Linked DNA regions of Notamacropus eugenii. The protein of the gene in region 1 interacts with the protein of each later gene in a pairwise test. Links are inferred from orthologs where the notes say so. Each region holds a gene or a part of one and is shown in the gene's direction. Other genes may lie near its edges.

Evidence for each region.
Region 2: the proteins of NRIP1 (region 1) and RORB interact in a two-hybrid assay, tested with the Homo sapiens proteins (2 studies listed by BioGRID). The link is inferred for Notamacropus eugenii from reciprocal best matches to the Homo sapiens genes NRIP1 and RORB.
Region 3: the proteins of NRIP1 (region 1) and CIB1 interact in a two-hybrid assay, tested with the Homo sapiens proteins (2 studies listed by BioGRID and IntAct). The link is inferred for Notamacropus eugenii from reciprocal best matches to the Homo sapiens genes NRIP1 and CIB1.
Region 4: the proteins of NRIP1 (region 1) and CEP70 interact in binary tests that used the Homo sapiens proteins (3 or more experiments, as listed by UniProt). The link is inferred for Notamacropus eugenii from reciprocal best matches to the Homo sapiens genes NRIP1 and CEP70.

The regions. Positions count from the first base shown.
Region 1 is NC_092876.1:410,459,136-410,467,201, reverse strand, and holds the start of NRIP1 (nuclear receptor-interacting protein 1), read left to right. Parts: upstream 1-4,645; 5' UTR 4,646-4,760; intron 4,761-8,066. UniProt on the Homo sapiens protein: Modulates transcriptional activation by steroid receptors such as NR3C1, NR3C2 and ESR1. Also modulates transcriptional repression by nuclear hormone receptors.
Region 2 is NC_092874.1:374,203,759-374,211,563, forward strand, and holds the start of RORB (nuclear receptor ROR-beta), read left to right. Parts: upstream 1-4,588; 5' UTR 4,589-5,298; coding exon 5,299-5,305; intron 5,306-7,805. UniProt on the Homo sapiens protein: Nuclear receptor that binds DNA as a monomer to ROR response elements (RORE) containing a single core motif half-site 5'-AGGTCA-3' preceded by a short A-T-rich sequence.
Region 3 is NC_092872.1:169,846,558-169,854,045, reverse strand, and holds the start of CIB1 (calcium and integrin-binding protein 1), read left to right. Parts: upstream 1-4,344; 5' UTR 4,345-4,849; coding exon 4,850-4,900; intron 4,901-5,162; coding exon 5,163-5,197; intron 5,198-6,402; coding exon 6,403-6,511; intron 6,512-6,750; coding exon 6,751-6,901; intron 6,902-7,000; coding exon 7,001-7,119; intron 7,120-7,208; coding exon 7,209-7,297; intron 7,298-7,488. Other genes in the region: GDPGP1 (GDP-D-glucose phosphorylase 1), read right to left, coding at 229-1,392. UniProt on the Homo sapiens protein: Calcium-binding protein that plays a role in the regulation of numerous cellular processes, such as cell differentiation, cell division, cell proliferation, cell migration, thrombosis, angiogenesis, cardiac hypertrophy and apoptosis.
Region 4 is NC_092876.1:328,657,437-328,665,356, forward strand, and holds the start of CEP70 (centrosomal protein of 70 kDa), read left to right. Parts: upstream 1-4,701; 5' UTR 4,702-4,719; intron 4,720-7,920.

The DNA.
Region 1 (8,066 bases):
CATTTTTAAAGTTTTATTCCCCCCCCCCCATTATATGTAAAAACAATTTTATCACTTTAAAAAAAAGTTTTGAGTTCCAAATTCTATCCCTGCTTTCCTCCCTTCTCCCTCCCTGAGACACTACACAGTTTGATATAGTATCCAATCATGTAGCACATTTCCACATTAGTCACCTTGTGCAAGAAGACTCAAACCAAAGAAAGAAAGAAAAGAAAATGAAAAACACTATATTTCAGTTTGTATTCAGACAGCATCACTTCTTTTTCTGGAGTCAGCATTTTTCTTCATGAATCTAATGGGATTGTTTTAGATCATTGTGTTTCTGAGAAGAGCCAAGTCATTCACAGTTACTTTATCATATAATATTGCTTACTGTGTACAGTGGTCTCCTGGTTCTGCTCATTTCACTTTAAATCAGTTTATGTAAGTCTTTCTAGGTTTTTTGAGAATATCCTGTTTGTCATTTCTTATAGCACAATTGTATTTCATCACAATCATATACCACAACTTGTTTAGCTATTCCCCAGTTGATGAGTATCCCCTCAACTTCCACTTCTTTGCCACCACAGAGAGCTGTTATAAATATTTTGTATATATAGGTCCTTTTTTTAAAAATCTCTTTGGAATACAGACCTAGTAGTGGTATTGCTGAGTCAGAGGGTATACATGGTTTTATATGTACTTTGGGCCTATATTTTTTGGGAACCTATGTAGTAGTTCTCCAGAATGGTTCACAACTCCACCAATGGAGCATTAGTGTCTCAGTTTCCCACATCCCCTCCACCATTAGTCTTTTTCCTTTTCTGTCATTAGCCAGTCTGATAAATGTGAGGTTATATCTCAGAACTGTTTTAATTTGCATTTTCTTAGTAATAATTTAGAACATTTCTGATGTCTGTAGATGGCTTTGATTTCTGTCTAAAAACTGCCTGTTTATTCATTTATCAATTGAGAAGTGATTTGTATTCTTACAAATTTGACTCTGTTCACTATGTATTTGAAAAATGAGGCTTTTATTAGACCTATTTACTACAAAAATTTCCCCCAGTTTTCTCCTTTTTAATTTTGCTTGCATTTGTTTTGTTTGTGCAAAAACTTTCTAATTTTATATAATCAGAATGATCTCTTTTACACTTTGTAATGTTCTCAATAGCTTATTTGGCCCTAAATTTTTTCCTTACCCATATATCTCAGGTAAATTCTTCATGTTCTCCTAATTTGCTTATGGTATATTGCCCTTTATGTGTAAATGATGTACTCATTTTAATCTTATTTTGACATACAGTTTGTGATATATTGGTCTATATCTAGTTTCTGTTATACTGTTTTCCCAACAGTTTTTCTCACATCATAAGTTTTTGTTCCCAAAGCTTAGATCTTTGGGTTTATCAAATACTAGATTACTGTGGTCATTACTGTGGTCAGTCAGAATCAAATACTAGATAACTGGTCAGTACTACTGTGTAGTGTGCTCCTAATCTTTTCCACTGATCTTCCACTCTTTCTTAGCCAATACTAGATTGTTTTGATATTTACAACTTTATAATACAGTTTGAGATCTGGTGTGACTAGGACACTTTTCCTCACATTTGTTTTCATTAATTCCCTTGATGTCATTTACTTTTTTGTTCCAGATGTTATTTTTTTTCTAGCTCTATAAAAGTTTTATTTTTTTTGGTGGTTTGATTGGTATGCACTAAGTAGATTAATTTAGTTATATTACCTCAGCCTGCCCATGAGCAATTATTAGTTTTCTAGTTTTTTGGATCTGATTTTATTTGTGTGAAGAATATTTTGTAATTGTGTTCATATAATTCTTGGGTTTGTCTTGACAGTTAGACTCTCAAGTATTTTATATTGTCTTTAGTTATTTTTGAATGAAATTTCTCCATTTCTTCAGTTTAATACATATTTACATAGAAGAAAAAAGTTTGCACCGTCTCCGCCAAGAGATGAGTTGACATAAATTTTCCATTCTTCGTTAATTATGCAAGGGAAGCTAGGTGGTGCAGTGGATATAGCACTAGCCCTTGTCAGGAGAAAGAGGGTTCAAATTCTTCCTTAGACACTAGCTGTGTGACCTTGGTCAAGTCACTTGATTTTATTTGCCTTGCTTTCCTCATTTGTAAAATGAGTTGGAGAAGGAAATGGCAAACCACTTAATATCTTTGCTAAGAACATCGCAGATGGGGTCAAGAGGGAGGGATAGGATTGAACAACAACCACAATAGATCTGTTCAGCATTTCAAGTGCCTGTGTTTTGCATTGGTGCAATAGATTATTCATAGTAAACTTGTTCTAAGCAAATTACTTTGATTGTTATTTAGTTTTTATAACTGAATCAGAAACTTTTAGAAATGTATCCTGCACTCTGGATAACGATAATTTCTAGTATTAAAGGTATGTATCATCTTTATCTTTTACTTTTCTTTACTCCATGACTTTGAAGTCACTAATTTTGCTCTGGAAAAATTTCAATGTAATTTAATTAAAGTACTGTTTTTCTTCTAGCACAGTCAGGAAAGCGGTTTGTTAGAAAGATTTGTTATGCTGTTTGTGGAAAGTGAACATAAGGTTAAATTTACTGCCTAAAGTGATCTGGTAATACTTTTATGTAGCTGCTGAAGAAATGGAGAAATTTCATTCAAAAATAACTAAAGTGTGAGAATAAATAAGTCAAATTTTTTTTTTTAACGCAAGTTATTTATTTTAGTTTTGTTCATTGGAGAAATTTTCTCAGTTTATCCCGTAGCTAACACCATTGTTGTCAAACTTAAATAGAAACGGAACTTTACAGGCTTAGAAAACCATGAATGAACTTTATCTATGTTGTTTTATATTTTTATTTTGCAAAGTATTTCCTAATTATATTTTTTCTGGTACCTGCAGCACTTACTGACTTGGAGTTTGACCCCTCTGGCTAATAACCTTCTCGACCTACCCCTTCCCTACCCATTCTTCACACTCCCACCATTCACTTCCTAAATTTTATAAAGACTATTCTGGCTTTAATTATGACTTTAGTGACAGATGATATTCTTAGTTGCCAAGAGGGCAGTAAGGAGTTGCAGACTTGTTTCTGGCATGAGTTTTCCTGATGTTGAGCTATAATGCTAAGCCACTTGGCGCAGGACCTAGGAAAGAAGAAACCTGAATCCTCTCTCACCTGCTTAGTTGGGAGCTCTTCCCTCCTTCTGGAAGATTATCCTTCGTGAAAAATATTGGCATGGATAAGAGTTAATTCTTAGACACAATTTTCTATGTACGGAATTAAAATAAAAATTATTAAGCAGTACTATTATTTCCCCTTCTGTGGCAGTTTTATGTATTTGTCTTTAACTTAGGGTAGTGTTTCCATGGAGTTCTAAAACACTGCTTTAATTTTCTCAAGGAATTTCAGAGAGATTATATGCCACCTTACATGTTGGTTTTGAACAAGTTGGACACTGATAAAATGAAATGGGAATAAACAGTAGGAACTGAAGAGCTACCTACTATAGAACCATGGCAGGCCTAAGAGTTTAGATTACATATAGAATTAGTCCAAAATCATGGGGTATTCCTTCTTTGAAAGCTTTTTTTCCTAGATGTGTGGAAGGGGGTGGCCAGTGCTGCTAGATGTGCCTTATTACTCTAGTATTGGCCAAGTCTAGGTGGGGTAGCAACTGTGAAATGATGAGTGTATGTGATTGTATTTAAACCTTGTCTTTTTCTGAAGCTCCCAAGGTTAACTACTAGGGGCGAGGAGTATTTTGTGTGTGTTGGAGTGGAGAGGAGCGGATCGTAAATCCTTATGCATCTTTTTTATTGACATACTTTGGAGGGAAGAGGGAATTCTCTTATCAGAACATGCAGAAGTTTGTTTAGCTTTCTGTTATAAGGACTCTTCTCCTTTAAACAAAATAAAGACAGTAGTAAAATAAAATTGGAGTACAGAATAGAAACTGAAGAGCTACTCTTTGGGGATATCAGTTTGGGGATTTCATATTGTATAAGCTTATGGTCTTAAGTAGGGGGAAAAACAGGTTATAGAACACAAGGTGGAGAAAATGTATACAAAACAAGACAGCAAGAGTGTTCTATAATTAAGTTTATTATTAAGTCATTCTGATGATTTCCCTTTTACACTTAAAAAACCCTCACAATTTCCTGGCTGTTTCTTGCACAGATTTCTCCCTTTCTACAGAAAAGTATCAATTTTTGAAGAATGGATACTTGATTTAGAACATTTTATACTCATCTAAAACAACAGTTTCCATTGGGTATGGTCAAAAGTCATCATCTGGGAAAGACTAGACTAGCTATAAAAGTACTCCACTCCTTGAATGAAGTACTTTCTTTTTTCCCTCCTTATTTTGTAAGAGGTGGTCTAATCCCTTATAAGACTTCTATTGAAGTCACAGAATGGTGTCATGCAAAGGGTAAGACTACAGTGTAGACAGATGTGTTTGAATCCCTGTTCAGACAGATGATAGGTATACCTTTCAGATCTGTAAAACTGTAATAATGTGAAAAAGTGCCTTGCAAATTTTCAAGATCTATATAAATATCAGTTATTTTTCAGAATTATTAAATGCTTTAAAGGGTTCCTTTAAAGTAATGAGCATTGTAAAATAACTCCAGTCCTCCTTAAATTTTTTTTCAGGAACTATTGGAATTGGAAAGATTGACCCACAGATGTATTTACCTGTTGCCTGTAACTCTAATTGATACATGGTTTTCAGCATCCATTCTTTCAGATACTGGGAGAAAATCAAAAGGTATGGCATTTTATTTATATAGGTTATTAAGTCCTTAGTAGGAGAGTAATTACGTTACTGTATGACTTATTTGGCCATCAGCTTCTAGGTATTGTTAAATTTGCTATCTATCAGTAGAAAAAGAATGTTTATTATTTTATGTGATGAACACTGAAGTCTACTTTCTTTGATTTTATGTAAGTAAAAGGCATGTGGTAAGAAAAGCTGTTTCATTTTGAGTACGCAGAGTCTTGCCCATATTAGTGCTTAGGCTCATTAAAACTTTTTTTGTAGCATAAAAGCTTTTAGAAAGTTTCTTTCATTTATGGATAATAAAACATAAATATATTTTCAAGTAGATTTACAGTCTTTTCTCACTTGCCTAAGTATTGGTTTACCAAACTGTGCTTGTGAAACCTTTCATTTTAAATAGAATTTTGAGGGAACTCTTGCATTAAACAAGCTTACAAAGTGATTTTAAAAAATATTTACTAGCAATGACCCTAGAGAATATGAAGCTGTTTTTTTTTTTTAAGTTTTATCATTCCTTTGCCCTGAACACAAAAAGAAAAAGTTACTTAAGAGTGAAGTGTACTTAAATCACTTCCAAATCCACATTTTCTTTTGCTTTTTAATTTTTCTTGATAGCTTTTGTTTTTAAATGATCTTCATTTCTGAACATATTCCATGTTCCTCTCCTACCCAAAGACCATTCTTGGTAACAAAGAATAAAAAGAGTGGAGGTGGGGGAGTATTTTAATGAAACTAACCACCATCCAGAGCCTGACCTGTTTGATGTTACTCATCCTTCCAAGTGTCCCTCGTTTGCAAAGTAGGGAAACAGATGCATTTTTAAAATTTCTTTTTCATAGCTGAAGTTGGTTAATATAATTTAAAAGTATTTTGTTATTACAGGTATATTGTATTTTGTTTAACTTGCTCTGCTTACTTCATTCTGCAACAGCTCATATGAGACTTCTAATGCTTCTCTGAATTGTTCTTATGCATCATTTTATGGCATCTTAATATTTCATTAAATTCATGTGCCATAATTTGTTTAACCATTCTGCATCCTTTGATCTTTGTTTATAGTTTTTCCACTAACATAAAAAGTGCTGCTATGTAACACTGTAATGTATATGGGACATTTCTTTCTGTCTGTGACATCCTTGGGATGTATGCCTATCGGTAGGCTCTGTGGGTCAGAATGATGGACATTGTAGTCACTTTTTAAAGAGCGTAATGCCACATTACCTCACGTAGAATGGTTAACCTGTTAATATCTCCACCAACAATATATTTTAGCAAGTGTGTCTTCAAATTCATCTTTTCCTTTCAAACCTATGACTAGAAAAGATGGGCTCTCTGAGAATCATAATTGTTTTTCTCCCCAACAAGATTCTTTTTATTATTGTTATTATTTTATTGCAACTAGATTCTTGCATGGGACCAAAGGGAGATTGACAGCAAATTAAATGGTAGGTGAGATTATCAAAGAGAATGCCCTATCCAGTATCTTTATCAATTATTATTCTTGGATAATCAGTTATAAAATATTTTGTAAAGCAGTTGTGGAGACAATTCTGTTTCCTAGAAGGAAATAGGGAACAATTGAAGTTTATTTAGCAAGGGATCTTAGAGGCCATCTATCCAGCTTAAGCCTCTTATTTTATAGATGAGAAAACTGAGACCAGGTGAGGCTAAATGAATTGCCATACAGATAGTAAATGTCAGACTGGTTATGAATTACTGACTCTAAAGCCTTACTCTTTTTACTGTACCATGCTATGCTTTAGTTATAGCACTTTGGTTGCTAAGTCTAAAACAGATTAAAGAGGAGAGAGACTTTAGGCAGGGAGACCAATTAGAAGGCAAAAGTTCTGTAGGAAAGTGATGAAACTTTGAACTATGGGATGATCATGTAAGTAGAAAGGGATAGATAAGAGAGCACAGATTATGTAAGCATCAGCCTGCAGTGTAAGAGGCAGTCATTTTCTCAGACTGCTGGAGGGGGGCAACTTTAGGGACTAGAGAAGAGAACAGCGGTGTGAAACCCACTTTGTGGGGAATGTGAAATAACAGCCAACAGAATAATTAGAAGGAGAGTGAAAGGGCTGCCTAACTGAGCTTAGATAGCACACACTGGAGCAGACTTGCAGCAAAGTTTGGCATCTAGGAAATAGGAACAGAGGAGGCAAAATAGTAAGAGTTACCTAAAGTTGAGAGTTAGGACGGGACAGTAGGAGGTCAGAGGCATCAAGGTGAAGAAGAGGGCTTTATTAAAATAGCTGACCGTGTGGTCAAGACTGTGTAAGGAAGGAAACTAAAGCTAGAACCTGGCTGATAACACTGGAGAACTAGGAATATAAACACTGAAACTTGTGGTGATGGCATTAAACTGGTACAGGAGGGTAGGGGGTAAGGAAATAGGAATAAATAGGACAGGACAGTGGGCTTCACAGGGGAGTTTAGCCATCTTCTTTCTATGCTAACGCTTATCCTTCTCACATACCCCGAAACCTCTTGCTCTTGAAATAGCAATCAAATCAACAATACCATCCTTGTGACTTAGACCATAACACTTCTCCCTGGCTTCTGTCTTGTCAGACTTCTCAGAATGTGACTTCGTTATGGGCACGAGGCCCTTCGGCTTTTTGTATTTGTATCCCAAGTGCTTAGCATAGTTCCTAGTACATTATTAGTGCCCACTAAATGCTGTCTTGCTTATTCATTCATATTTTGCCTGGAGAAGGGAAGGATTTAGACTCTGTGATAGCTGTCTTCAAGTATTTGAGGAGCTTTTATGCCTGTGAGTGCTTACAATTATTCTGCATAACCCTAGGAGACAAAATCAGTAGTTGACAGAAGCCAATTTAGTTTCAGTGTAGGGAGACAGTTCCTAACAATTAAGAGTCCCTTGAAGTGAAATGCCTCAGAATATAGTACCCGTAACTTGAAGTCTTCAAACAGAAGCCAGAGATGAAATAGATAAAGTGAACCAATCTGGGAAATAGTGCCAGATTGGGAGCTTGAAGACAAGATCAGAGGGTGGAGCTCTGAGGCATCAGCAGTTGCATCCATTGTAGAAGTGGACGGTGGACACAAGGCAGATCTGAGGCTGGCTTGAACTCTCGTTAATCAATAAAAAATGGTACTTTCCATCTTATTTTAAAATAAAAATTTGTGTCAATTAAAAAGCTTTTATTTTCTTTCCACTCTTCATTAAAAAAGAAAAAGTAAAACCCTTATAAGAAATATACATAGTAAAATCAAAAGACATTCCCTTCTTGGCCTTGAAAAAATTTATATATCATTCTGTATGTTGAA
Region 2 (7,805 bases), on another chromosome or scaffold:
TTTACTATTTGGCACTTTACAAGAAAAACCTACCAATCCTTGTTTTAGAGTCTGTAGTACCTAGATCCTGATTCCAATAACAGTTGAGCCAAAGTAAAGCATACCTAATTAAACTCTGTAGATCACAAGACACTTCAAGTCTACTCAGTCTTTCATTTTCTGTGTTAGATTGAACAGGGTTATAAATCTGGGAGACTACATGGAGTTGATCTAGAATAACCAAATTAAACTTTCTTTAATGACTCACTGCAGAATGTATCCACAATCTAAGCCAATGTTCTCAAACATCAATCAATAAAAGGAGTCTGAGATAAACCAAACTAGCAGAATCTGAAATGTTTTTTTAGTCATTGCAATCATGTCCATTTGATGTTTCTTGGCAAAGAATACTGAAAATTGAAAGAAATACAAGGGAAATTGCTATTTCCTTCTTCAGTTTATTTTACAGAGGAGGAAACTGAGGCAAACAGGGTTATGTGACTTACCCAGGGTCACCTAGCTAGCATGTATCTGAGGCCAGATTCAAACTCAGAAGAGTCTTTCTGACTCTAGGCCCACCAGTCTATCCATTGCATTACCTAGTTGCCCCATCTGAAAGGTATGCAGGCTAATTTTCCAGTAAATCTCAGAAAGAACACAAATTATAGAATGGTTGTTTACAGTCCTCTAAAGCTAATAATGTTGATAATGAGGATGATGATATAACTATTAGAATTTATCTAATAAGGTTTGCATAACAGTTTACAAATAGTATCTCATTCGATCCTCACAGCAACCCTTGGGAGTTATTATTTTCACCATTTTACAGATGAGGAAACTGAAGCAGACAGAAGTTAAGGACTTACTCAGGATCACAAGACAGGCAAATGTCTGAGGCTGAATTTCTTTCAAATCTGACTCGAACTCCATCTCTCTAACCACACTGCTGAACTGAGCTGAATGAAGTAATCTAGATAAAATTTCACCAGCATACAAAATACAGTTATGCTTATTAGGATGTATTTTTAAAATAATAATAATTGCATGTCTATATAGCATAGAATCATAAATCTAGATCTAAATAATACCTCAGAGGTCAATTAATCCAGCACCCTCCTTTTATAAATGAGGAAACAGAGGCTGAGAAAAGTTAGATGATTTAACCAAGGTATTATAGACTGTAAAAATCACAACTGGAATTTCAAGATCTGTTGAATCCCAAATCAGTATTTTTCCCACTGTATCATGTTTCAAGACAATTCTTCTAAGAAACTAAATTCAGATTGATATTCCCTTTTTATTGATGAAGATATTGAAGCATAAGGAGTCAAACTGGATCCCCCAAAATTCAGACTCTTAACCCATTGTCCCCTTTATCATCACATTATTTAGATCTTCTAGGATCTAAATACTGTGATTTTGTTCTTGCAGCATAAACTTTCAAGAGTTTTTTAACAGCCACAGTACACTAATAGCTCATTATTAAATAGTGCCTCCAGCAGATATTTGCTGCTACTATACTATAAATATATATATTTAGGGGGAAAGTAGAGGCAAGCCTTGAGATTCTAAATGATACCACTGCATGAGACTGAACATAGTCCTAAGCATGTAGTGGGCACTCAGTAAATCCTCATTGGTTGAATAATACAAAATGTTATTAACCCAAACATAAAATTAAGTAGATCTCAAGGATCAAAGGTAGAAGGATATTTATGATGCTAAAAAAAATTATGTTGGCAAAGTCTTTTACTAAAATCTGAAAATACAAGCCACTGACATTGCCTTTCAGGTAACAGAAGGTAGGCCAGTGATAGTTGTTGTATATGACCCCGTGATGTCACTGGTCCTCTTTGAAAATGAAAGACAAATAACAAACATTTGGGATATAGGAAAATCTAATTACTTTTTAAAGAGGATTTTAATAAAAGCTAGCTACAAAATTCCTCTTACATCTTTCAAGACTTATTGGAAAGTATTAATTAAAGACTGAATTTTAAATTCTCTGTTTATTTCTTACAGTATTAACAACCACAAAACAACTTTGTGAGTTTTGGAAACTACTCAACAAAGGAACTCATAAATTTTCAGAATGACTTACAATACCACAAACTTACACGTTATAACCCATGATCAATTTTTGTTTTACCCTTTAAAACCAAAGAAACAACAATTTTTAAAATCGTATATCTTATTATATATAGTTACATAAAGTTTCCAAAAGAACAAAATAATACATCTGAAAGATTTTAATTATTAAATCATTTCTATTTGGTTAATATTCGATAAGTGTTGGCTTTTGTTTTCACAATTCTCAAAAGAATAAATACGGCACATCTAGCTCCTGAGCAAAGTAACACACCACTGAACACACCTAAAGTATATTTTTAAAAAAACAAAACATAATGTGCTTCCTGTGCATACCTGACCTATCATATCTTTGTGATTATAGGCAGGGTAAGGAGTAAAGGACAACGTGTCAATTGTTGTCATTATTTAGAACTGAAGGTCTAGAAAGAACACAGATTTAGATTTAAACTTATTTACTCAGTGGTGAAAAAAAAACCAACAATAATAAAAATGTAACAAAAAATGTCTCTGACTCGCAGAGGCTTTGGAATTCCTGGCATTCCAGCTATATCTGCTTGAGGCATATGAGATTCAAAAAAGATACAGACACAACTTGTTTCTTGACTATTTTATATTCAGTAATTTTTAATGAACCCACTAAATTAGGCATAACTTAGTGAAGGTTTAATGTAGTTATGATGAATATATTTTACTTGATTAAAATGATAAACTCATGCAGCCTTAAATATTGTCTTAAAAGATTAACCACTGTCATTTACAAATCTGGGGGAAAGGTATTTATATGTGAATGACTATCCTGGAAGGAAAATTTCTTTTTGTTCAATCTATTTCCTTAATTTAATCAATCATGTTTCATGATTAATATTTAAAATGTCTTAAAGAGTACAGAGCCTGACAATAAAGAATAAACTTATTTGGGCAAACAAAGACTCAGTTGGAAGTATGGAGTCCGAAATTCATCCAGTTAATGTTATGAGTCAAAGAAAACCACTTTAGAGACTCACCTATCTCCTCTAGCTATATACTTTGATCTAATTAACTAGATAATTGCCAGATCTAGCTTTCACTTTGTACTATGTAGACATAATGTAAATAGAAATATAAATTAATTTTTTATCATTCTTCACCCACCAAATTTGTAACAGGCACAACCTGGGTAATTTCTATGCCTACCACTATAGGGAAGAGGCAAAAATAGTTTGCCTCAAGATGGAACAGAGCAAATTAAATCATTTTTGCTCTAATCTCCCCATTTTTGATAAAGCATTATTAATAACATTACTGGTCAACAGTACAGGGGGAAGGCCTTTGAATTTCTTAGTTTTAATTCTTGATAATATTTATCCGCAGGAAAACTTTTCTTTATTTGTACTAGACTGACACTATTAGAATTAAAAATTAATAAGAGAATTTATACTACAACTTTCACCTAAGAAGTTCCAAAGTACTTTACTTGCACCCAAACATCAATCATTTCCTTGAAACAGATAAAGTAATGTGTTCAACTAAGAACGCACATGGACGGTTTACCACCCTCTCCTAACACTCCTCATGAATGTAAGGTTCAATTAACACAATCCTATCTCCTTCACTCAGTTTCTTTAACCTTTAATGATGAGGATAATCTCACTTCCTTTTTATATTGTTCTTCAACTTCCTAGAACCCCATAATCAATAGGTCATATATTTCTATACCTCAAAAATCCATTTTTTTTTTTGGCAAAGAGGAAAATAAACACAAAATGCCATCTCAAAGGAAACCTAAGAGATGAATTAAAAATGCTGGAGTGGGGAGGAGTGGCATGTGAAATATTTTTTCAGAATGGGTTGACAGTTACTTTGAAAAAGTATTTTACTTGTAAGGAAAGTGACTTCTCATATACAGTCTCTACTATTACTACTAGATACTAGTATAATACTGCTGCTGCTGCTGCTGCTACTACTACTACTACTACTACTACTACTACTACTACTACTACTACTACTACTACTACTACTACTACTACTACTGATAATTATAGTCACTTAAATTCCCTGTCAGAGATGCAGATGAAGAGTTGATTGAAAAGGAAGTAGGAGAAGGCTTGCCATAAATGAAAAATGAGGCACAGGAAAGCTTTATGACTGGGAAATCAGCACAAGATGTGGAGACAGGTTGGACCAAGTGGGTTCTTTTTTTCTGTTTAGCTCCACAGAAACCTGAAAATTGGGGGCTTAAATGTCTGTCCTTGGTCATCCGTCCTTCCCCCTTTGCCCCAACCCGCTCTCAACAGATGAGTCAGTAGGGAATTTCACCTGCGGATCTGCTGGACCCTCCATTTCTCTCCTCTTTTCCTCTGCCTGGCTTTCTCAGACTCTGTAATTCCGTCTTTCTCCCTCTCTCTCCCTGAGTCTCCCTGGAGTGGTCCCAGCCGGGCTGAGGGCAGCAGGCTGGTGATAGGCGGTGGCGCTGACAGGAGGAGGAGCCTAGAACTCCGGGTCTAGCCCGCCCTCTGCTATAAGCCTCTTTGCAGCTTTCTCTCTCCATCTCCTCTCCTCCTCCTCCTCTCTCTCTCTTTCTCTTTCTGTCTCTCCCTCTCTCCCTCCCTCCCTGAGCGTCCCTGTAACTGAACAGTGAAAATTCACATTGTGGATCCGCTAACAGGCGCAGATGTCATGTGAAAACGCACATGTTCTGCCATCCACACAGCCTTCCTTTCTTTCCTGCCCCCCCCTCCTTTTTTTGCTCCTTTCCCCTCTTCTTTGTAACTAACCAAACCACCATCAACTCCTCCTCCTTCTCCTCCTCCTCAGTCCAAGTGATCACAAAAGAAATCTTCTAAACCGGTGGTGGCATTTTTTTTAAAGCAAATACACTGGAGAGAAAGACAACCAAACAAAACAAACCCAGGCACCAATCAGACAACATATTTTCACCCTTCCAGAAAACAACAACAACAAACACACAACAACCACAAAACCCCACCTGACCAAATAGACACCACTACCACCATCATTATCATCATCACCATTATCATCAAAACCAGTTAAGGCAGCAGAGGCCTCAGTAGCCACACAGCAGCCAACACCAACAACTGGCAACAATAACAGCCTGGGAGGGATGGTTTTCTCGGCAGAACAGATCTTCGGCTGCAGCCTCCACTCGTGCTGAGAAGGGATTTTTGTGCTTTCCGAGGTGCGGGCTGGTAGCAGCTTCATGACTGCGCGGAGCGAGCGATCGGCAACACCATGCGAGGTAAGGAAAAGGAACTCAAGGGGGGAGGCGGAGTGGGCAGGTCGAGAGGCAAAAAGCTCTAGAGAGATGGGTTCGCATTTGAAGATGGGATGGCTTGGGGGGGAGGGAAGCTGTGGAGACCAGAAGCTCAGTGGAAAGTGAAGGAAAAGCTTGAGAACGGGGTATTTCACCGAGTTCGTGTTCATAGGGAGAGCTGAGAGTGGCCTTGTTGGATAAAGTTTTGAAACGGTGTTTCTGTGGCTCGAGTTTTGTTTGGGTAGGCGAGGAGAGGCTTTTGTTTGATTGTTTGGGACTTAGGGAAGAGGGATGTTCCCTAGGAGAAATTTTATTTTCTACTTTAGTTACTTGCACTGAAATCTCTCTCTCTCTCTCTCTCTCTCTCTCTCTCTCTCTCTCTCTCTCTCTCTCTCTCTCTCTCTCTCTCTTTCTCTCTCTCTTTTTCTACGCTCATGGAAAAGGGTGGGATAGGATGGCCAGGGAAAGGAAAAGAGGAAAAGCATTTTATCTCAGCAATATTCTAGTATTTAGTAAAATGCAACAACAGTCACACATACTGGTCGCCAACCTCGGCTTGGGAAGATTAAGGGACAACATCCACTCCAGGGAGACGGGGATGGGAGGAGTAGCCGCGAGCAAACCAACCCTTGGACCATCTCAGGGAAGAGCGATGCATTTTTCTTGAGCGTGTAAATGTTTATTGAACTTGACTGGGGGGAGGGGGGAAGTTAGAGAGAGGGGGAGGGGGAAAATAGGTACCATGGGGCACCGGTCAGGTTGCGGGGAGACTTGCCCTCTCCTTGTCTCTTGCTGCTTCTCATCCCAGAATCGTCGTTGTTTCTGGGGCTCTGAAGAGGCCGAGGAGGAGAAGAGGGGGCCATGAAGAGGGTGGGAGGAGGAAGTTTTGTTTGAGAAGTTAGTTCTCTCAGCGAACAAGCTTGCTAGAGTTGGGTAGAGAAGGCAGCAAGCAGTTACTCGGTTTCCTTGAGCGCTCCCCCCTCCCTCTGCTTTCCAAGTAAAAGAGGGTGAAAATAGAACCATACCCCCCACTGTAGCTTCTGGGGATAGTGGAGGGCCTAGGAGGTCCCAGAGGTGGCGTGCTCGGGCGGGGAATACGTCTTTGAAGACACCTGTCCAAAGTTATTTTTGTCTCCCTCCTCCCCTTCCGCGGTACCTCTATTCGGGACTGTCAAAACATTATCTCCCTCCACGAGAGTCGATTCCCCCTCCCCATTCTCCTCCTCATCCTCCTCACCGTCATCCTCCTTTTCCTCCTCCTTTCTCTTATCCCCACTCTTCTCTTCTTTTCCCCTAGAACTTAGAGCTGACTCATTCTTTTTTCCCTTCCGCCCCGCAGGCTCCTTGCATGTCAATGCATCAGGGGACTAGCTGGAGAGCGAGCTCTCTCCTCTCGGTGTCCTCTCACGTAGTCGGGGTCCCTTCTGGTTACTGACATTCCCTCCCCCGCCTCTTAAATTCTAGCGCTGCTTCTCTAGGTCGGCTTTCGCTGTCCTTTCCTCTCTCCAAACCCGCCACTGCTGCCCGACCCCTTCATCCTATCCCTTCATTCTCACCAAAACACTTTGTGCCACACCATGACAGCCAAAGTTAGGACTAGAGCCTGAAACGCTTCAGCTTCCGCCACTTAATGACTTTGAAAGGGAGCCGAGAGTTAGAACAGCAATTAAATTTTCTCTGGTTTCTTTCTTTTCCCACACACATCCCTCCATCTGTAAGATGTTGGACTGCAGTTGGGCCCACGCTGGACAGGATGGGTCTTAGAGGAAGCGGGGGGCTTGCAGACCCTCTTTCCCCTCTCTCTGCCAAAGGGGAACAAGCATTCTCATCTGGCCAGCTCCCTTCCAGACCACTGTCCTCAGCCTGTCGCTGAAGTTAGATCCCTGCACAACTGATAGGAATAGTCACCCCCTCTAGGTTGGGACCAAGACGTGAGGTTGGGGATCTACTGTGAGTGTGCACAAGTTTGTGTCTGCTGGGACAGAAGGGGGAGGACCCACGTATTGCGTTACACGGAAGAAAGCTAGGTGGCTGGTGGTGAGAAACACCCGTGGGAGAGTTCGTGAGTCCGTGGATGGTAGATTAACGTCAATGGGGCAGGGGACGCGAGTCCACGCTCCCGGTCCTTGAGTGTGTGTGTGTGTGTGTGTGTGTGTGTGTGTCTGGTTCAAGGCTAGTCACGTGTTCTACTGACCAACTTCTCTGAAGAAGCTGGAGGGCGGGCAGGGAGGAGGAGGGTCACTGTCCCTTCTTTCCCTTCTCCCTCCCCCTCTAGCACTTGGTACACACATAACGATTGCTCAGCATTAAGAAGCCCCAGATCCCCTTCATTTCTGTCAGGTTCCTGCCCCCTCTCTTTTTCTTCCTTCCTTTCCTGGGTAGCGGAGAACTGCTTTTCTTGATATGTCAGCGTACTGGGGGGTAGGGGCTTGGGGGTGGGGAGGCAGGCAAGTCTACACCGTCGCTCGAGGCTTTAAAGCTTCCC
Region 3 (7,488 bases), on another chromosome or scaffold:
AGCCTAAAAACAATAGGGGTCACTGAAGGTTTTTTTTAGTAGTTATGACTTAAGAGAAACACGCAAAGGAAGAACAAGATAAATTAGAAAATAAATTGTTGTTGTTGTTGTGTTTGTCCTTCATTTTGGAAGACCATGACATCAGAGAAATGATGATATGACTTGCACTTGACTTTGTTTAGGGAGGGCTGAGAAAATAAATATCACCCAGGCAAGGTACCTACTGTGCTATGCCAGGAGGGACACCAGTGCTTCTTGAAGTTGTAAAAACTGAGATGGAGGCAGGAGAGATTGCTGAATGAGATTTAGAGCTGAAGCTTCCGTCAAGCTTTGGAAATCCTGAGGTGTTTTAACAGGCAGATGTCCTGCCAGCTCACAGAGTGCTACATTGAAAGCCTCCCCCTCCTTAACCCCAAAGCTGGACTTCCGGGCCCACAGAATGACCCGGACACCAGCGTAGGCCAATGAGGATGGTGGGTTTCCAGGTGGGGCTCCCCGGGTCACAAATAAGTTATGTGCAATCTCCTGGTCAACGAGGTAGTTGGTGACCTGGCAGACCTTGTCTACCAGTGCCTGCAATTTTGGTCCTGGCTCATCCACATAAAATAGAAAACCAGGGGCTGGGAGTCCTTCTAGTAGGTGAATATGACCATTGGGATCTAGTGGCTGGCTTGGAGCTGTCTCTACTGGCAGTTTATGGGCTAGGTAGTAACCATGCAAATGTAAGTGGTTAACAGAAGCCAAACCACCTAGACTGTTGAAGCCCACCCGGAAGCCAGGGTGGGTGCTAAGCATGACAGCCTCCACCCCAAATTGTAATGGGTCTGGCATGAGCATCTGTGGTAGCCCTTGGGTTGGCTGTGGCACAAACAGCACATGTCCCCATTCCAAGGGACTGACATTGATAATTACCAGGACCTCAGTGCACTGGAGAGCCATCGGAAAGCCTGGATCTCGGCGCAGGCGGAAGAGGATTTCTCCTGGATGGATCTTATTGAAATTGAACTGCTGAGGGTCAAATGCCTGCCTCACACTCTGGATGTTCTGAGGGCATCTTCTCTGTATGCCCCGATCCACGTTCAGCTGAGCCACAAAACCCAGAGGGCCAGGAAGGATTTGGGTTTGCAGTTCCCCAAGGCAGTAACGAAACAATCCTTGTTCCATCCGTTGTTTCCAAGATGATTGGAGGGTACAATCAAAACGAGACAGCAAAGGGGGACACTGGATGCCAGATTCACTAGTCTGCCATTGTATCCCTTCCACTATCAGTTCCTCGAAGCAGTACACAAAATCCAACACTCCCAGCCCAACTGGGGGTCTTGACGGTTCATCACAGCTATTGCTCTGAAGCGGCAAATTTGAAGTTTCATTTATATTCTGTGGTACAGCCATACGAAAAGGGCACAGATTTCAAGTTCTACCAGGTATGGGTTCCTCCAGGTGACCTGGAACACAAGAGCAATAGAGTATGGTGTCACATTTCGAAGGGCTTTAAAAAAATCTTGGCTGCTGGGTTTTGTTTTTTTTAGGTAACCTTTAAAAGTAACTTTTTATAGTAGAGCACAGACCCTGGAGTAAGGAGGGCCTGACACACCTGAGTGTGTCAACTTGACACACTCACTAGCTGTGTGACCTTGGGCAAGTCACTTAACCCCAATAGCCTTGCCTTCCCCACCTCCAAAAAAAATATCAAACAAACCAAACAAAAAGTAACTTTTACAGTTTTGGAAAAAATACTGTTGTAAATCTATTTCTGTAAAAACAGGTTTCTCCGCTGCTGGGGTCTGTACATATTAATCTTCCCCATGATATGTAATAATATTATAGTTTCTCAATATGTATGCAAGGCCAAAGGAAAATTGATAACCTAATAAAGATTACAAATCCTGTCCCATAACATTTTCCATCTGCCATTGTACCAACTCCTTGAAATTCTCACTTTTAGTTCCATATCCCTCTAATGAGTCCAGAAACAAAGGGAGGCAAAAGTACCTCAAGTTAAAATTTACATTTATGTTGCCTGATAGCAGACCCCCAGTCATCTTCTCTCAGTAGTACAAAACAGGTGACACTTTGGAAAGGGAGTATTCTTCCTAAGCGAGTTAGCCATGAGGCTTGAGGCTCAGGAAGGCAGTGGAGAGGACAGGCCCACAGTTGGGTGTCAGATAATTGGGTTATTAATTGATTAAGCATCTGTTGACCCACTCCTATATGAAGCACAAGATATACGATGAGGAATTAGAGATGTTCCTCACCCTTCAAAGAGTGTAGTTTTACAGTAGGAGATGTAAGACAGGTACAGAAATGACCATTCACATATTAGCATTTACTCGGTAGATGATGCATTATATAGTTTTTAAAGAACACATACATTTAAATACTTGCTCCATCTTCATATAAACTCGCCATGAGGCAGAGATAGGGCAGGTGCCCCGGCGTTACCGAAGGATCTGGAGGTTCAGCGATTGCACAGTCTAAGTCATAGTAAGTGATGGAACCAGAGGGCAAGCCAGCAGAGGAGAGAGCCGCGGGCCCTGGGGGTAGAAGGCTTTGCTGCTCATTTCCCACCCTCCCCTTTTCCGGCTCCAAATAAGGTGCTCCTCCCACTGACGTGGGCGAGACCTAATAAGTTTCATTAGAGACAACAGGAAAAAAAGGGGGGAGGGCGAAATTGACGAGGAGGAGGAGGAGCATCAAAGGGAAGCTTCCTGCATCCACCCTCCCCTGGCTCCCAGCACAGAGGTCTCCAAACAATCGCTGTCCACATGCTCCTCCCTACCCCTTCTGCGCTCCTCCAGGCAGCGAGTGCACCGTCTGTCTGTCCTCGCTCCCCGACTCTCCTCACCTCGGCTCTTCCCAGCAGGCTATGCTAGGTGGGTGCAGGTGCCTTGTCCAAGGTCTGGGAAGAGGAAACTGGCAGCCCCACTTCCTGAACGCTTCGGGGGTCACGGATGCGCATGCGCCTCATTTAAGGGGCAGGATCATCGACTATGAGGTAGAGATCACCCCCCGCCCTCTCGAGGAGCAAATGGGCGGGGCCTGCTAATTAGGCCCCGCCCCCTCCAGTCTCAAGAGGAGAAGACCCTGGCATCCCGACCTACTCCCGCTCTCTGGAGCTCAGTCAGATTTTAGGATCCCAGGATTCAGGACTGAAAGGGGACTTTGCGAGATCATCTTGTCCCTTAGCCTCGTTTTATAGAGTTTCGATCCTCCTGAAATGAGGTACCGTTTTAGGGGAGATCCTGGCTCGAACCCTCATTTCTGGCAAACGCTCTCTTATTAGACCGTAGAAGACACACACTTCCAATACGGACATACCAACAACGTGACAGCCAGACATGAAGCTACATAAGTCCAAATTAGGGGATCAGATAGTGAAATATTCTCCGCACTCATCTCTGCAATCTCCTGCTCTTCCAGGGAATTAATTTAATTCCCCAGCATAGCCCCAGAAGAACAGTCACTTCATAATCTCCAGGGGTCTCTCCTCGGCCTCCTTGAAGAAAGTTGTGCTGATTCTGGAATCTCAAGGTCAGCCAGCCAGTCAACAACTATTCATTAAGGGCCTGCTATGTGCCAGGAACGGTGCTAAACACGGAGACGAAAGAAAGAAAAAGACAGTCCCTGCCCTCTCCACGAGCTCACAGTCTATTAGGAGACAAAAAGCAAACACGTTTACAAACAGGCTACACACAGGATAAAACAGGGTGGTGAATTGGGAAGGACGGCACTGGAATGAAGAGAGGCTAGGACAGGCTTCCGGTAGAAGAGAGGTTTTTTTGTTGGGATCTAAAGGAAACCAGAGGGGTGAGCAGCGGCCGGAGCAGAGGAAGGAGAGCGTTCCAGGCATGGGTTACAGTCAGAGAAAGCTCCCCGGAGCCCAGAGAGATGCCAGAGACCAGCGTCATGGAATGGAAGCGTACGCGTCGGGGATTATAGAGTGAGAAGATGGGTAAGGCAGGACGGCCATTGGTTAGAAATAGCTTGGAACGCCAAGCGGAGCATTTTGTGTTTGCTCCTGGAAGTGATCGGAAGCCACTGGAATTTATTGAGTAGGGGGGCGACAAGGTTGGACCTTCGACTTAGGAAGTAAACCAAGAGTACTTCACTCCAAGCGGTTTCCGAAAGTCGGGGGTGGGGGGTGAGGGTGGCGGAGGTCGGGGGGAAGTATCTAATTGGCTTCTCCTTCAAACCCTGGGGCTCACTAGAGAGACTGTAGTAGTTTAAAAAGCTCCCGCTTTATGGTGCAATCTCCACCAAAGTCCTTCGCTTTGGATCACGTAACGCACAGCATTCTGGGAGATGTAGTCCAGAGACCTTTCAATGGACTTTCGTCCTTATGAATTGTGGGAAATGAAGTCCTGTGTTCAGGCCCAGTACAACCTGGCGAGGAAACTGAGCCCCAGAGACCCGTTCGTCCAAACCCCGCATTTTTTCCACGATACTCGGCTGCCTCTCTTTCTGCGAGGGGTGGGAATAACAAGCTGTCTTCTCCTAAGGCGCAGCAGCAACAGGTCCCAGGATCCCGGCTCACACTCTCTTAACGCCTGCCCCCGTCTGGCCCCTTCCCTTCCCCGCTCCCGCCGACTAGACCGATCACGCCTGATTTTGGAATCCTCTCCCTGGATTTCCCTCCGGGAATGGAGAACTGGCGTTCGGGCCCTTTAAGAAAGAGAGAGGCGGAGCCTACGGGCAAAAGCGGAAGGGGCGTCGGAGTTGCCCCGGTTGCCGCGGGGACTGGGCGGGCGGCGGGGCGGGTGACGCGAGAGGCGGAAGTGAGTGGGAAAGTTGTTGCTGTCCGGGTCGGAGTTGGAGCGGCTGGTCTAGACCCGGCGGGTGTAGCAAGGCCATGGGCAGCTCGGCCAGTCAGCTCTCCAAGGAGCTGCTGACAGAGTACCAGGTGCGCTGGGGGCGGCGGATGTGCCTGGGCCTACCCGGGCTGGGCGGGCGGCTTGGGCCCCGGAACCACGGGCAGGGCTAAGAGGGCCGCGACCCTTGGCCGTGCACGGCCGGTCTCCCCCGCACACCCGCACGGCCTAGCCCCGCCCTCAGGGACGGGAGACCCGAGGAGGCCTCGAGTGCAAGGCTCCCCGGACTGGTGGGGGGCGGGGCAAAGGTCTGGGGTGCCGACTGTGCCCATCGCCTCTCGCTCTTTCTTCCAGGAATTAACGTTCCTGACGAAGCAGGAGATTCTCCTGTAAGTACCCCTCCAGCCTCCGCCTACTCAGGAGGCCGCTGCACTGGGCCACAAGACTTGGGTTTTCTCTCCTGGCTTTGCCACTGAGTGACTGTGTGACCTTAGGCAAGTCACTCCCCTCCCCTGAGTCCCAGCCTGCCCCGCGAACAACTGAGGGGTTGGACTAGACCGCCCGACGTCACGATGAGTATTAGGACTGAAAGAAAAGTGGAGACTGAGTCCCAGAGCGCTGCCGGGCCTGGCCGAGGGCACCGGTGACTCTGAGGGCAGGACTCCAAAGTTCACGCTTCTCCCCTGCCCTGCCCCGCCCCGGTGCATTGTGGGCTGTAAAGCAGGTCCTTGGAGCGGGGCCAGGCCATGGAGCAGTCCAGCCTTTAGGAGCGGGTCTTGCTCTGAGACCTGGCTTTCAGTTTTGTGCCCTCGCTGGCCAACGGGTGGTGCTGTTGCCCGTAGCCTGCTCGGCCACGGCCACCAAGTAGGAAGTTTCTATATTCAGCCACGCGCCCAACTTTGAGTTTTTGAACCACCTGTAACATTTTGCTTGCTCTACGTACTTGGAGATCAAAGCAGTTGCACAAAGCTTTTTCTGAATACAAATCAATAATGGAATTCCTGAACCCTTCTTGGCAGGGGCAGAAACACTAAGAGGGGTGGGTAGCCCCTCGTTGGAGAATGGCTACATTGACTAAGCCTCTGGGAAAACCTCTGAGCAGAATCCAGGCTAAGTCTGAGGACACTAGGCAGAGACTGTGGGATTCTTGGTGCAGTCCATGGGACCATGAGCTTTTTGGCCTTGTTATTCCCAGTGTTAGCACGGTGCCTGGCACATCGCAGGGACCAGTAAATGCTTGTTGACTGACTGACTGGTTCCTACCACCCTCCATCCATCCAAATCCTTTTCAACTTTCAAGGGCCAGCTCAAGTTCTACCTGTTTCCATGAAGCCTTCTTTGATGATGCCAGCTCACAGTAATCTCTTTCATCCTTTGAAATCTTATCACTTGTCTGTACCAGTGCTTTGTGACATCTCTCCTGTATTGTTCATAAGCTTCTTGTGTGTTTTTTGATCCTGCCTTTTCCATAACTAAACAGTAGGCTAGCTCCCCACGCAGCTGTGAATTTAATAGAAACTGTAAATCTTATTTGGTTGGTGGACTGAATGAATATTTGTGAGCTGATAGAATGAATTCTGGTTTTCTTTACCAGGGCCCACAAGAGGTTTAGTAACCTGCTTCCTCCGGAGTCTCAGAATGTGGAAGATTCTCTGAGAGTCCGAGTATCCACTGAACAGATCTTAACACTTCCGGAGCTCAAGGTGGTACCCTTCCCACAATGCTTAGTTCAGTAGTTAATTTCAGCCCCCTGTTTTGGGATCTGTGGGACATTTCTCAATCTAGTAACCCCTTCTTCTTCCAGTAATTCTAGTGATGAGCAGTCCTCTGTAGTTCCCAGTACAGGCCTTTGGACATAGCACATGTGTCATCAAAGTTTAGTGGTTGGTTCCCTATCAGAAACTTAATGCCCTTCTGCTTACAAGAGCCTCTCTTGCTCTAGGCCAACCCCTTCAAGGAACGTATTTGCCGTGTGTTCTCCACAGCACCAGAAAAAGACAGCTTGAGCTTTGAAGACTTCTTGGACCTCTTCAGTGTCTTCAGCGATGCAGCTACCCCTGAAATCAAATCCCACTATGCCTTCCGCATCTTTGGTAAGGACTGAAGGTACCAGGGTATCTGTACTGAGTGGAGTGGGAGCATCATGGTCTTTTCAGCAGGGATAATTTTTTGTCTTGGTCTTTCCTAACTAGATTTTGATGATGATGGGACTTTGAACAAAGAGGATCTGAAGCAGCTCGTGAACTGCCTCACTGGGGAGGGGCAGGACACTCAACTCAGCACCTCGGAGATGAAGCAGCTCATTGAGAACGTGAGCTTGGATAGGATAAGGAGGGAAGGGGATAAGAAAGGGGAAGACATTGGGGCTTTTGATTGAACTTCTCTCTTTTCCCTGGGCAGATCTTAGAAGAATCTGACATTGATAGGGATGGTACCATCAACCTGTCAGAGTTCCAACATGTTATCTCCCGTTCACCTGACTTCACCAGGTATCACCAGGGCCACCTGGCAATTTAGCTACCCATAGTACCTTGCTAGAAGGAGGGCAGGAATAAGAAAAGTGGAGAAGTGTTTTCGGGGTAAGGTTAACTCAAGTCAACCCCATTGTCCTCTGGGATTGAGCCAATTTCAGACAGGTTTTAGGGAACATATTTACCAACCTCTGTCTGAGTTTACTTGA
Region 4 (7,920 bases), about 82 Mb from region 1:
TTAAACCAAGATGTAATAGGGAACTCATTACCTCATGAAGCTGCTCCTTCCATTGTTGCACAGCAATGTGTTGGAGAGTTTTTTATATGGAGTCAAAATCTGCTACCCTAGAGATGATAACATATTTTTCTCTCTTCTCCAAAGAGAAGTGAAGGACTACAGGTACAGAATGTTGTATTCAATGTGAGATATGACCTCCCCACCCCCCAACAGGTTTTCTTGGCCACAAGGAGGAAAAGGAATGGAAACATATCAAGTTTTTAATGTAATATAAAAACAGGCATCAATAAAACCTTTTTTTTTTTTTAATGTCTTTTTATAGCTTCTAGCTACTGGTTCTAGTTCTGATCCCTCTTCCACATGAAAGACTTTGATTATAACAGTGTGCTCAAATCTGGGTTAAGGCAGAGAAAATGGGTCTCAGGTTCTTTGCTTCTTTGTCCTGTACCACAGCATTTTTAATTATTTCATTGCCATCTGGCAACCACCAGCTGCTGCCTCTGTTCTCAGCCTAGTGGGCTTTGAGCACTTTCCCCTTATCCTCCTGTGCTTTATTGATGACAACAAAAAGACAGTTCAGAATGGGAGTAGCCAGGGAGAAGTAGAGTTGCTGAGATCCTATCCTGCAACTTCATTGGTAAAGTCATGGCCCAGAATTGCAGAAATTATCTGGCCCAGCACAACCTAGTTGGCAGCTGCTAGCTTCCCTAGAGAATGTAGCCAATGTCTGAGATAATTCCCATTCATTTTGTGTATGTAAAAGGAGGTTTATTATAAACCACTAAACTTCCCAGATTTACTATATTATTTATTTTCCTTTTTTTATTACTGTCAGGGTGAGGCTGACTGATTTATTCAAGTCATGCTACCCCTCTTAAAGTGAAAAAAAAAAGAAACAACCAATCACTCTCAATTGTAGGCTTTAGACCTATTGGTCCATGGCTAGATTTCAGTTAAGTTTGTGAAACTGAATGGGAAGAAAAGTTGCACCACTAACTTCTAAATGAAATTTCTTTATTTTAAAACATTATGTTAAGGAGTCCATAGGTTCTGTCAGACTTCGAAAGGAGTCTATAACACACACATACACACACACACACACACACACACACACACACACAAGTTAATAATCCCAGCTTTACAATAAATGAAAAAATTCCTTTGAATTAGAGTGACATTGCACAGAAACTTTTGATCACATTCCAGGAATCATCTATAAATTATCAAGCTTGCTTAAAACTAGAGGAATTTGAGGGGTTACAACATTTAAAAAAAAAACAAAACCCTTTTAGGAAGAACCATGGGCACTGGAAGTAGAAACCTGAAGTTAAACCTTGGTCAGAGGAGGACCTTATGGATTTTGAAGGGTCCGGAGAATGTTGGACTTCTCATCTTCCTATTGGTGTTCTGGTGGTATCCCCAGATCAGCTGATGGCAGGGTCTGCATTGGGAGCCAAAGACAAATTGAGCATAGACTTATAGAACCACAAATAGCTTAGAAATCAAACCCAGAGCTCTGATCTACCCCTTTGCAACATTTGTTCCCTAAACTTGAGTTGACTTTTCCCTGGTCTCTATATACTTGTGTCCACAGACTTTTATGGAGATGTTTTCTACAAACTTTGCTAATTATGCCAATTTAGTAAATATGTAAAAGTTACGTAAGGCTGGTTGACTAAAATGATTCTCAACTGATAACCTCAGGGGTGAAAGAAGCATGCTGGTGGGGGTTTGAGCTGATGTCATTAGAGAATTACCTCCTGGATTTTCCTCAAACTCTGAGGTGGGGGGTGGGGTGGATATGTAATGTTTTTACAAGACCTGAGGTCCATCTGTAAAAATGGGAGTTGGATCAAGGATCCCCAGAGTTTCTATGGGCTACATTATGAACTTACTAAACACAAACACTTCAACATGCAAAGAAGAAAAGAGGATTGCATAAAATTGAACGTGTTACATACAATTTTTTAAAAATATGTTAAATTTAACATGGTAGTAACAAAAATGCCCTATTTGTCAGTGTCCCCTTCTGAACTTCCTTTTGTTCTGTGTATTATAATATCTCATTAAAACTCTCTTTAATCCTTCAGGTTTATTTTCCCATAGGTCACGAGCAGTCATCGAGAAAAAAGATTAAATCTTGCCTTGGGGATTATTAGTTATGGTTACTGTAAAAATGTTGACTGAGAGAGTTTACATTAACTTTTGAAATGTTTCATAATATGTTCCACTCGTCAAACTACTTTGCTAGACTATGATCAGAGAGGGCTGAGAAAATTGTAACAGCTGGATCCAAGCAGAAAACATTTTCAGTGGATAGGGTCAGAACCATGAGTCATATGCACAGAAATAACCAAAAGGAGGCATTGCTGAAGAGGCTAGTTTGTACTGATTGTGATGTAGATAGGAGCTTCTCACTTTGAGCTCAGCAAAGACTGTAGTATTTAATAGCCTATTGTGTATAGAAAATCATGCTAAGTGCCACAAGAGAGGCAAAGTTTGGATAAGACAATCATGGGTTTTAGGGGAAAAAAAAACTTACATTTGTGTAGTACCTCAAGTTTTACAAAACACTTACCTCACAACCATTCTATGGGGAAGGCAGAGTGTGTGAGCCTTATTATCTCTATTTTGAATATAAGGAAACTGAGGCTCAGCAACTTAGGCCAGTCAAAAATAGGATTCACATCTAGACCCTTTTATTCTAAATTCAAAGTTCTTTTCACTACACAATGTTGTCTTTCTAAAATTCAGACTAATTATGTAATTAATTACATTGTCAGTTTATTTTCCTTTATTTTATTCTATTTGTTGCTCAAGTGGTATCTAAGAAAAAACTGTCAAGTCACTGCCCATGGAGAGTATTGTTTTACAATGAAAGAGTAGCCTAAGATGCTATTTACAAAAATGGGACGTATCATTGTATCATTTTCTTTGTACTTCCTTTGGGAAAAGTTCTAGCTTGATGATAAACAATGCTAATACTGATGCAGAGTGAGTTGAGATGAACCAAGAAAATAATTGATTCAGTGAAATAAGAAAAGCCTACTCTAATCAATTTAAGGACCAAGCACAATTCCAGAAGACCAATGGGAGAAATGATGGTCAATGTAGGAATTTGTTTTGGTTGATTATGCATATTTTATTTGACTATGAATATTTGTTATGAGGATTTTGTTTTTCTTGTTTCAGTGAGGTAGGGTGAGAAGAAGTGGGTGATAGGGATAGAGTTCCCTCCCCACCAAAAAAAATGAAAGAAAAAGAACAGTATTGAAGCATTAAAAAAAAAAATTAACAGAACTGAAGGAAGTCGAGAAGGAATACCAGAGAAGCAGGATAGCCTTGAAAGTTATGTTGAATTAATTATATACTTAAAAAAAGCAAACTGTACATAATAGAGATGTACACTTTCATGTAAAATCTTTTTTTCTCTTCTACTATGTACATGGAAATGCTCATTTTATTTGGTGTCTAAAGTTAAAGAAATAAAATTTTGTTGTTTTTTAGTTGTGTCTGACTCTTGATGACCCTGTTTAGGCTTTTCTTGACAAAGATAGTGGAGTAGTTTGCCACTTCCTTCTCTAGCTCTTTTTACACATGAGGAAACTGAGGGAAACAGGTTTAAGTGACTTATCCAGTGCCACACAAGTAGAAAGTGTCTAAGGTAGGATTTGAACTCATGAAGATGAGTCTTGCTGACTCCAGGGCCAGCACTATATCTACTGTCTCACTTACCTGCCCCAAAGAAATAAAATAGAAACAAAAATAAAGTGTTGCTGTCAATTACTTTCAAGGCCAGTGGAATACAGGTGGAAACTATCTCCACCTTCTTACCCTGACAGGCCAAATTCCGAGCAGGGATAAATGTACATATTCTGTATTTACCTGTCAGTTTATTGTATCCATCTAGTAGACTGTAAGGTCTCTGAGGACAAGGACAATTCTTAGCACATAGGAGACACTTAGTAAGCGCTTGTTCACTGATTGATACTTTAAAGCTGTCAGTGGCTCACAAAGGTACCATATGGATTTCTTACTGACCTTACACAATTGTGATACTCAAATGAGATGATGTATTTGAAAGTATTTTGTAAACTACAAAGTACTAGAGAAGTGTGAATTGTTGTTTATTTAGTCCTGAATTAGTTGTCCACTATGTGTTTAGTCATGTGACTAGAATCAGATTTTTTTTATCTTTAAACTTTTGAGAAGTAGTAGGCACAGAGATGGTATTTTGGTTCAAGTTTTGCAGTCCAGCAGAATGTGTCACAATGCCATAAGAGCAAACTGCTCACTAAGGTTTATTCTGATGTCTGCCTTCTCTTAGTGGTAGAAATAACCTAGGATTCTCAAAGGCTAAGTGGGACTTCCAAGGGAAAATAATCTTGTTTCCTGCTTTCAGTTTGTAAGCACTGCAGTATCACCTAGCTCTTCACAGCTATGTAGATTCTTTTAACTTTCTTAAGTTTCTTTTGTGGAATCATTTCCATTTCCAAGACTGTTCAACTCTAGATTTCTCAAAAGGAATGCTTAGAGGTCATCAATTCTTCTAAAAGTTCTATTTCCTCCATGTTTGGATTATTCTCAACTTTGTAGGATATTGTCCTTGGATACAAGGATATCCTTGCTTTGCTTTTTGATAAATTGCATTCCAGTTTTTCCCCCTTTCTTCTTTGTTGAGGAAAAGTATTCCTGCATGATTCTACATGACATTCCTTGGTATGTGATCTACCTATTTTTGTCCACTTGTAATATTTCCTTTTTGATCTGTAATCTCTGAAGCTTGGCAATCACATTTTTGTGTGACTTAAACCTGGGGTGGTTCTTTATTGGTGGCTCTCCAGTCTCATCATTTCCTGTCACTCAGATGCTTTCTGTCACTATCTTTTCCTTCAACCCTATTTCACATTACGAAGTTACCTTACTATTTACTAAAGCTAACCCCAGAACTTGTTCAAGCAATCCCATTCCATCTCATCTTATCCAACAGATTGCCCCATCTATCATCCCTACTTTCACTTATTTTCAACCTCTCCCTGTCTACTGACTACTATTCCCTCCCTACTGCCTACAAAAATGCCCATGTCTCCCTCATCCTAAAAAAAAAAAACTTCAAATGATCCTTCTGTTTCCACTCATTCTATATCTTTTTTGCCCTTTGTAGCTAAACTCCCTGAAAAGGGCCATCTGATGCGGCCTCCATTTACTCTCCTCTCACTCTTTTCTTAACCCCTTATAGTTGGGCTTCCAAACATCATTCCACCAAAACTGCTCTCTCCAAAGTTACTAATGATCTATCAGCTGCCAAATCCAAATGGTCTTTTCTTAATCCTCATTCTCCTTGACCTCTCTGCAGCCACTGACACTGTTTATCACTCTCTTCTACCTGATTTTCTCTCCTCTCTAAGTTTGTAGGACACCGATATTTCCTGGTTCTCATCTTACCTATCTGACTGCTCCTTATCTGTCTCCTTTGTTAGATTCTCTTCTAAATCATGCCTTCTAACTATAGGTGTCTTCTAGGCTTCTTTCTTGGGCCTTCTTTTCTTCTCCCTCTATGCTACAGTTATCCCTTCTACATCATGGGTGCTAGGGGCATGGCACCTCTACAATCTGGAAAATCTGTGTAATTTTTTTTGCCCTCTCTTCATACCAGAGAAGTCTGATTTTTTTCTATTATGGGGTATTTACAGTACCTTATTGTAAAGTTTGGTTAAGTCTTTGGTCATAGACTATATTTTATGCATTTCTGAGTTTCTAAACTTTTTCTGAGTTTCTGATTTTTTTCTGTGTCATCTGCTGGCCTCCATGTGTCATCTTCAGCTTCTGTAAAATTCTCCCAAAATTCCCATTTAATTTCTTATGCTGATTCATGATATATCAAAACCTCAGTGGGGAAAATTGTGATGTGGAAGGGATACCTGTACTTTACTTTGTGATCTCAGTAGCTTTCATGGATTTAATTACCAACTCTATCCTGATAATTCTCAAATCTATCTATCTTACATCAAACTCTGTGCTGACTTCTAGAATCTCACATCTCCAACTGCCTTTCAGACATCTTAAACTGGATGTTTAATAAATACCTTATGTCCACTAAATGTCCAATAAATACACTATATCCAAAACAGAACTCATTATCTCTTCCCCAAATTCTCTCCCTCCCACCTTCCCTATTACTATAGAGGGCAATGCCATCCTCCCAGTCTCTGAGTCTCACAACCTATGACTCATCCTGGATTCTTCATTATCTCTTACTCCCCCCTCCCTACCCTACATTCCATCTGTTTAAAAGGATGTCAATTTCACCTTTGAACCATCTCTTAAATATATTTTCTTTTCTCTTATGATGTTGTCACCACTCCAGTGTAGGCATGAATCACCTCAGCATCTGGATTACTGTAAAAGCGTACTGGGGGGGGGGGGGGGGTCTACTTGTCTAGACTCTTGCCTTACTTTAATCCTTTTTCTACTCAGCCACCAAACTCTTCTTGATAAACACCAGTTGCTACCTATTGCCTCTAGGATCAAATACAAAGTGTTCTGTTTAGCATTCAAAGCCCTTCATAACCAACCCCTCTCCTACCTTTCCAGTATTATACATTACTCCCTGATATGTACTCTTCAATCCAGTGACAATAGCCTCTTGGCTGTCTAACAAACAAGGCACTCCATCTCTTGGCTCTGGACATTTTTCTCTGGGTGTCCCCTACGCTTGGAATATTTACATTCCAACTACTGACCTCCCTAGGTTTCAAGTCCCAACTAAAATCCTATTTTTTTTTTTTTACTGGAACCCTTCCCCAACCCCTCTTCATTCATGTGCCTTCTCTCTTTTATTTTCTATTTATCCTGCATATAACTTGCTTTATCTATCTATCCATCTATCCATCTATCTATCTATCTATCTATCTATCTATCTATCTATCTATCTATCTATCTGTAAAATTTGTATCTTGTCTCCCCATTTGTAAGCTTCTTCTGAGGGCAGAGACTGTCTTTTGTTTCATTTTGTATCCCTAGCACTTAGCACAGTGCTAAGTTCATAGTAGGTGCCTAGTAAATGTTTATTGATTGATTATGCATACTATTGATTACTTTACCCTCTAATTCTTATATTTCTAGGCAATTTTTCTGATTTCCTGAAGTAAGCATGATCCTCATACTTTTTGTTCAATAATGTTTTTCTGGAAGTTCAGTAATTCTTAGGTGGACTCTCCAAGCCCTGTATTTCAGGCAAATTATATTTTGTTACAAAGACCTCCCAAGTTTGCTGTCTTTTGGCTCTGCAGTAATATCACTGAACTTTTTTCTTTCTTCCATTCTTTTTTTACCAAGTACCCATTGCCTTGCTTATGTTTTATAACTTCTCTTCAAAGTCATCAATTCTTCCTTGGAGATTTTCATCATAGGACATATTCTCTTCTTCTGGATAGTTCTTACTGTTCTCTTACTATTTCAGGGGACTTTTATTTGCTTGCTCATTTTTAAGTCTTTTTGCTGTTGTTATTATAAGAAATTCCTTACTTTCTCTTATATTCTATTGTTCCTTCAATTTATCTGTCAAATGTCTGTTTTGAGCTAATGAGGCTAACTGAAAACCTCTGATGCAGCCATATGGATGGAAGCCCCCCTCAGCAGGTATTTGATACCTCTTTCTGGAATGAATGCATGAGAATAGTTAGAGATGATGCTTGAAAGGAATGTTAAAACTTGAAATAAAAGACCTATATTAATCCTTGGATGTCAAAATGAGGTTAAACTTTATCTTTTAGGCAATGAGAAGTTATTGTGCGCTGCTGAGGCAGTATTGGGGAGTCACGTAAGATAAATTATAATTAGGAAGCTTAATCTAGACAGCAGAAAACAGGGAGGATTGTAGAGTGAAACCAGTTAAAAGACTACTGCATAAGCCCAGGT